Macaca fascicularis: one gene and its partner. Each later gene encodes a partner of the first gene's protein in a complex. Links are inferred from orthologs where the notes say so. Each region holds a gene or a part of one and is shown in the gene's direction. Other genes may lie near its edges.

Region 1 (3,351 bases):
GCGATCTTGGCTCGCTGCAAGTTCCGCCTCCCGGGTTCACGCCATTCTCCTGCCTTAGCCTCCTGAGTAGCTGGGACTACAGATGCCCGCCACCACGCCCGGCTAATTTTTTGTATTTTTAGTAGAGACAGGGTTTCATCGTGTTAGCCACGATGGTCTCGATCTCCTGACCACGTGATCTGCCTGCCTCAGCCTCCCAAGGTGCTGGGATTATAGGCGTGAGCCACTGCACCTGGCCTATTCGTTTTTTTGAGATGGAGTGTCACTGTGACACCCAGGCTGAAGTGCAATGGCGTGAACTCAGCTCACTGCAACCTCCGCCTCCCGGGTTCAAGTGATTCTCCTGCCTCAGCCTCCCCAGTAGCTGGGATTACAGGCGCCCACCACCACACCTGGCTAAGGATATTTATTTATTTATTTATTTATTTATTTATTTATTTTTGAGACAGAGTCTTGCTCTGTTGCTCAGGCTGGAGTGCAGTGGCATGATCTGAGCTCACTACAACCTCTACCTCCTGGGTTCAAGCAATTCTCCTGCCTCAGCCTCCCTAGTATCTGGGATTTCAGATGTGTACCACCACGCCTAGCTTATTTTTGTATTTTTAGTAGGATGAGGTTTCACCATTTGACCAGGCTGGTCTCGAGCTCCAGACCTCCGGTGATCCACTTGCCTCGGCCTCCCAAAGTGCTGGGATTACAGGCATGAGTCATCGGGCCCGGCCTAGGATATTTATTTGAAGGCAGGGAAGCCTGTGGCGGTAGATGTTGTGGAGGGAAGGCCAAGTATAGGCACTCATCCCTGGAGCCTGCAGGCTGGGGGAGGGGGAAATACTAGGGCTCTGGTGGGCCCCTCGGGGTGGTCCTGTGGGTTGGCTGGGGCCTTGAGAGGAGAGGAGGCTGGAGGGGCAGCAGGTGTGCCTGGCTTCAGGGGAGCCTTCTGCTGGGCTCCCTGCCCCCAGCATCCCCTCTAGTCTACCTTCCTCCACAGCCTTGGATAAATGTCCCAGTATGTCACTTGGGTCATGTTGCTTCTCCTGCTGGAGGAGCCTTGGGGTTCCCTGTTGTCTCCTGTCCCCTGCCCCACTCTGTCCCTCCTGAATCTTGCCTCCCGCCAGAAGCCACCTAGTGAACATTTGTTGAATGGATGAATGAACATAAGCTTGAGACTCTTGGTGCCGCCCTGTTCTTGCAGCATGTGCTCTGCTGGCCCTGCTGGGGCCTTTTGCAGACTCTTTGGTAGGCAGCCTGGTGCCCTTGGTCTCTTCTGTCAACAACCTTCTTTTCCCAAGAACTTGTAAGCCCCACCTATCGGGGCCCTTCCTTTCTGCGCTGTTAGTATCTAGCATGATATTTAGCACGGGGCTGGCCTGCAGCACTTAGGCAGTGGCTCCTGGCAGCCTGGGGAGGAAGAGGGCTTTCCTACACTCATGCCCCCTAAATTTTCTCCCTTGGCAGAAAAGGACTGGACGGAGGAGGACCGGGCCCGGGAGAAGGTGCTGATGCAGGAGCTTGTGACCCTCATTGAGCAGCGCAACGCTATCGTCAACTGCCTGGATGAGGACCGGCAGAGGTGACATGGCCAGGGGTGGGGGCTCCTGGGAGACAGGGCCAGAGCAGATCAGGCCCATGGCCCCATGGGTGGGGCAGCTCCCTGGAGAGCCAAAGACACAGTCCACACCTCGGGCCAGGCCAGCCCTGCCCTCCTACCAGCGATCCCAGTACACCCTTGCTCAGCCCTGTGTGGACAGAGAGGGCATCTGCTCCTTCCTCCTGTGGGACTCTCAGCTGCTGCCGTTTTAATTTTTTTTTTTTTTTTTTTTTTTTTTTGAGACAGCGTTTCGCTCTTATTGCCCAGGCTGGAGTGCAATGGCATAACCTTAGATCACTACAACCTCTGCCTCCCAGGTTCAAGCAAATCTCCTACTTCTGCCTCTCGAGTAGCTGGGATTACAGGCATGAGCCACTACATCCAGCTACTTTTTGTATTTTTAGTAGAGACAGGGTTTCACCATGTTGGCCAGGCTGATCTCGAACTCCTGACCTCAGATGATCCACCTTGGCTTCCCAAAGTGCTGGGATTACAGGCGTGAGCCACCGTGCCCAGCCTAACTGCTGCTGCTTATTTCAGGGAGGAAGAGGAAGACAAGATGTTGGAAGCCATGATCAAGAAGAAAGGTGAGGCCCTTGCTGGGGATGAGGCTGGTGCCCAGTTGAACTTCAGCATTGGGGGTGGAAGGGAGGGATTGGTTGAAGGGAGGATTGGAGTGGGCACTACCAGGATGGCTGTGCACAAACTCCGCAGCCTCTGTTTTGCGGAGAGGGCTGTGTGTAGCAAGAGAGGCCAGCCTACAGCCAGGAAGGCTGTGGCTTAGGCTTGGAGGGTAGCCGTGGGATGCCCTGATGCCCACAGAGACGACTGTGGATTTGTCCTCAGCTGTGCATTCCCCCTTGAGATCTGCAGCTGGTTTTGTTGGAGTCTGTGGGCCCAAACAGCAATGCTTCCTGGGGACCAAGTGGTGCTTGGAACAGTTAAAAGAGTACTGGACAGGAGATCGAGATCATCCTGGCTAACACAGTGAAACCCCATCTCTATTAAAAGTACAAGAAATTAGCCAGGCGTGGTGGCGGGCCTCTGTAGTCCCAGCTACTCGGGAGGCTGAGGCAGGAGAATGGCGTGAACCCAGGAGGCGGAGCTTGCAGTGAGCTGAGATCGTGCCACTGCACTCCAGTGTGGGTGACAGAGCAAGACTGCGTCTCAGAAAAAAAAAAAAAAAAAAAAAAAAGATAAATGGGGCCGGGCACAGTGGCTCATGCCTGTAATCCTAGCACTTTAGGAGGCTGAGGCGGGCTCATCGCCTGAGGTCAGAAGTTTGAGACCAGGCTGGCCCAACATGGTGAAACCCCATCTCTACTAAAAACACAAAAATTAGCTGGGTGTGGTGGCACACTTCTGTAGTCCCACCTACTTGGGAGGCTGAGGCAGGAGAATTTCTTGAACCAGGCGGCAGAGTTTGCAGTGAGCTGAGGCCGCACCATTGCACTCAAGCCTGGGCGACAGAGACTCTGTCTCAAAAAAAAAAAAAAAAAGGCTGGGCACGGTGGCTCAAGCTTGTAATCCGAGCACTTTGGGAGGCTGAGACGGGCGGATCATGAGGTCAGGAGATCGAGACCATCCTGGCTAACACGGTGAAACCCTGTCTCTACTAAAAAATACAAAAAAAAAAAAAACTAGCTGGGCGAGGTGGCGGGTGCCTATAGTCCCAGCTACTCGGGAGGCTGAGGCAGGAGAATGGCATAAACCCGGGAGGCAGAGCTTGCAGTGAGCTGAAATCTGGCCACTGCACTCCAGCC
Region 2 (4,108 bases), on another chromosome or scaffold:
TCCTTGTTCATTTCTGCTGAAGGAAGCTGGGAAGTGCAATCTCAAGCTGGGAGGCCATGAATCCAGCTGAAACTAGATAGTTATTTCTGGTTCCTTCCTTTAGGAGGAATTTCAGTTAGCAGTCTCTGCCACAGGCGACAGAGTTTGCTTTAATTGGCGGGCCTTAATTGGGCCATAATGGGTTGGTGGGAAGCAATCTAGAATAGAGTTTAGAATCCAGACATGGTGGCTCAGGCCTGTCATCCCAACACTTTGGGAGGCCAAGTCAGGAGGATCTCTTAGAGCCCAGGAGTTCAGCATAGACATAATGCTGAACATACCTACAAAAATAAAAATTTAAAAATTAGCCAGACATGGTGGCACATGCCTGTAGTCTCAGCTACTCAGGAGTCTAAGGTGGGAGGATGGCTTGAGCTCAGGAGTTCAAGGTTCAGTGAGCCAGGATTGTGCCACTGCACTCCAGCCTGGGTGACAGAGCAAGACCCTGTCTCTAAAAAAAAGAATATAATTTTTTTAAAAAAAGAATATAGAGCCTAAAGCTGGAGTCTATCCAGTCCAACCACTTTGTTTTGGAGAAGTATTTAAGACCTAGGAAGGGAAGTGGTTTGTGGCATTTCCTGGGCTTCTTGTAGAGCAGAGGTCAGCAAACTTTTTCTGTAAGGATCGGATAGTTAATACTTCCAGCTTTGCAGACCTTTCACAGCTTTGCAGTTTCTATCATAACGACTGAACTCTGCTGTGTTAGACAAAAGAAGCCATGGATAATACAAATGAGCATGGCTGTGTTTCAATAAAACTTTATTTATACAAACAGGTGGTGGGCCAGGTTTGATTCCTGAGCTGTAGTTTGCCAACCCTTGTTGCAGAAAATAAGTGAGATTCCTGCAAAATGGGGAGCCTGGCACATCAGCACTGAACAAGGAGCAGCTGCAGTTACTGTTGCAGGCACGTCTTGTCACTGCCTTCCCAGGGCACACAGCTGGCAGGTGGCAACACTGGAGTCTATGTTCTACCATCTGTGCTGTGCTGAGCACAGTGCTGGGTCTCCTCACTCTCGCCCTCGTCTGACCCACCTTAAGAGCTTGCACTATGGGACGACTTTTGCATTAGCACCTGTTTATGCCAAGTGCTACATGGGTTGGGAGTGTTATGGTGGGGGCAGGAATAGGGGAGATAATCCTGCCCTCAGGGTGCTGTACTGTCTAGATGAGCACCTTCTAGGAATTTTTTTTTTTTTTTTGAGACAGAGTCTCGCTCTGTCACACAGGCTGGAGTGCAGTGGCGTGATCTCGGCTCACTGCAACCTCTGCCTCCCAGGTTCAAGCAATTCTCCTGCCTCAGCCTCCTGAGTAGCTAGGACTACAGGCATGCGCCACCACGCCCAGCTTTTTTTTTTTTTTTTTTTTGGAGATGGAGCCTCGCACTGTCGCCCAGGCTGGAGTGCAGTGGCGTGATCTCAGCTCACTGCAGCCTCTGCCGCCCAGGTTCAAGCAATTCTCCTGCCTCAGCCTCTCGAGTAACTGGGATTACAGGTGCCTACCACCACGCCAGGCTAATTTTTATATTTTTAGTAGAGATGGGATTTCACTATGTTGGCCAGGCTGGTCTTGAACTCCTGACCTTGTGATCCACCCACCTTGGCTTCCAAAGTGTTGGGATTACAGGTGTGAGCCACTGTGCCTGGCCTTTTCTTTTTTCTTTTCTTTTCTTTTTTTTTTTTTTTTTTTTTTTTTTTTGAGACGGAGTCTGGCTTTGTCGCCCAGGCTGGAGTGCAGTGGCCGGATCTCAGCTCACTGCAAGCTCCGCCTCCCGGGTTCACACCATTCTCCGGCCTCAGCCTCCCGAGTAGCTGGGACTACAGGCGCCCGCCACCTCGCCCGGCTAGTTTTTTGTATTTCTTAATAGAGACGGGGTTTCACCGTGTTAGCCAGGATGGTTTCGATCTCCTGACCTCGTGATCCGCCCATCTCGGCCTCCCAAAGTGCTGGGATTACAGGCTTGAGCCACCGCGCCCGGCCTTTTTTTCTTTTTTTTTTTTTTTGTGTGACAGTTTCTCTCTTCTTGCCCAGGCTGGAGTGCAGTGGCATGGTCTTGGCTCACTGCACTCCTGAGTTCAAGCGATTCTCCTCTCTCAGCCTCCCAAGTAGCTGGGATTACAGGTGCCCACCACCACGCCTGGCTAATTTTTGTATTCTCAGTAGAGATGGGGCTTCACCATGTTGGTCAGGCTGGTCTCGAACTCCTGGCCTCAGGTGATCTACCCACCTCAGCCTCCCAAAATGCTGGGATTACAGGCTTGAGCCACTGTGCCTGGCCCCTTCTAGGACTTTTATTTTATTTTATTTAGAGATGGAGTCTTGCTCTGTTGCACAGGCTGGAGTGCAGTGGTGCGATCTCAGCTCACCACAACTTCCTCCTCCTGGGTTCAAGTGATTCTCCTGCCTCAGCCTCCCAAGTAGGCTAGGACTACAGGCTCGTACCACCAGGCATGGCTAATTTATGTATTTTTAGTGGAGACAGGGTTTCGCTATGTTGGCCAGGCTGGTCTCAAACTCATGACCTTGTGATCTTCCCACCTTGGCCTCCCAAAGTGTTGGGATTACAGGCGTGAGCCACTGCACCCGGCCTGTAGGAATTTTAAAAACTATCTCTGGCTGAGAAATACCAGGCCAGGTTGGAGATGAGAGCCATCAGAGCAGCAGGTCCCTTGGCACCCCTGAGCTCTCCCTTCTCTTCCCCGCAGGCTATGACTTTGCAGCCGTCCTGGAGTGGTTCGCCGAGCGTGTGGACCGCATCATCCTGCTCTTCGACGCCCACAAGCTGGACATCTCCGATGAGTTCTCAGAAGTGATCAAGGCCCTGAAGAACCATGAGGACAAGATCCGCGTGGTGCTAAACAAGGCAGACCAGATCGAGACACAGCAGCTGATGCGGGTGTATGGGGCCCTCATGTGGTCCCTGGGCAAGATCATCAACACCCCCGAGGTGGTCAGGGTCTACATCGGCTCCTTCTGGTCCCACCCGCTCCTCATCCCTGACAACCGCAAGCTCTTTGAGGCTGAGGAGCAGGACCTCTTCAAGGACATCCAGTCTCTGCCCCGAAACGCCGCCCTCAGGAAGCTCAATGACCTGATCAAGCGGGCACGGCTGGCCAAGGTAGACCCCAGGGTGAGGGGAGCAGCCTATTGCCAGGCAGGGCCGTGGGGCTCTGAGATAGGCACTCAGGGCCCCGGGATTGCCCGAGACCCATCCCAGCTCACTGCACAGGCGGACCTGTGCTGCGCTGTTTCCCTCTGCAGAAACCAGTCTTTGGTCAGCACCCGCGTGCAGCCTGCTCTTAACTAAGATTCTCCACCCGGCCTCCCTCTAAACCTGTTGTGTGTGTGGTTTATGCCCCATCTACTTTCAAGAAGGGTTTGACTATGCTTACAACACAGAAACAGCACACAGGAAGTTACCGCTGAAGCAAAGGAGGCAGCCTCAGAAATGGGGTGTTGGGGGATAGAGCTCTGAGGCTTGTTGGCTTCCCTCTAGGGTTTTTTGTTTTTGTTTTTGAGGCGGAGTCTGGCTCTGTTGCCCAAGCTGGAGTGCAGTGGCATGATCTCAGCTCATAGCAACCTGCACCTCCCAGGTTCGAATGATTCTCCTACCTTAGCCTCCCGAGTAGCTGGGATCACAGGCACACACCACTATGCCCAGCTAATTTTTGTATTTTTAGTAGAGGCAGGGTTTCACCATGTTGGCCAGGCTGGTCTCAAACTCCTGACCTCAGGTGATCAGCCCACCTCAGCCTCCCACAGGATTACCCCTCTGGGGTTTACTGGGCCTGAAGTGCACTCAGCACAGTGCTGGACGCCAGGGACATGGCGGGGAGTGACACACAGCCCATCCACTCCTCAGCCTTCATGGGGAAAGCAGAGCACACAAACAAAAACTAAACATCAGTTGTTTGTGTCGTCTTGGAGTGAGCACAGGCTGCTGCGGGAGCTGGCGCTAGGGGCTGTCCCAGTGGAGTAGAAGGGCTAGGGGAGGCCTGGCAGGAGCTGAAGCTTAAGCTGCCATAGGAAGCAGCTCGTGAGGAGACGAGGTGCCAGCCTACAGACTGGGA

What was found. The genes of interacting proteins can lie anywhere in the genome.
Region 2: the proteins of MICALL1 (region 1) and EHD1 are in contact, whole or in part, in an NMR structure (PDB 2KSP), measured with the Homo sapiens proteins. The link is inferred for Macaca fascicularis from reciprocal best matches to the Homo sapiens genes MICALL1 and EHD1. Residues at the interface, in NP_203744.1 of Homo sapiens: Lys422, Tyr424, Asn425, Pro426, Phe427, Glu428, Glu429; in NP_001269373.1 of Homo sapiens: Gly464, Ala467, Lys468, Met471, Asn478, Leu481, Gly482, Trp485, Lys486, Lys492, Asp493, Gly494.

What each region holds. Positions count from the first base shown.
Region 1 is NC_088384.1:13,681,373-13,684,723, reverse strand, and holds part of MICALL1 (MICAL-like protein 1), read left to right. Parts: intron 1-1,455; coding exon 1,456-1,570; intron 1,571-2,128; coding exon 2,129-2,175; intron 2,176-3,351. UniProt on the Homo sapiens protein: Lipid-binding protein with higher affinity for phosphatidic acid, a lipid enriched in recycling endosome membranes. On endosome membranes, acts as a downstream effector of Rab proteins recruiting cytosolic proteins to regulate membrane tubulation.
Region 2 is NC_088388.1:9,524,238-9,528,345, forward strand, and holds part of EHD1 (EH domain-containing protein 1), read left to right. Parts: intron 1-2,743; coding exon 2,744-3,156; intron 3,157-4,108. UniProt on the Homo sapiens protein: ATP- and membrane-binding protein that controls membrane reorganization/tubulation upon ATP hydrolysis. In vitro causes vesiculation of endocytic membranes. Acts in early endocytic membrane fusion and membrane trafficking of recycling endosomes.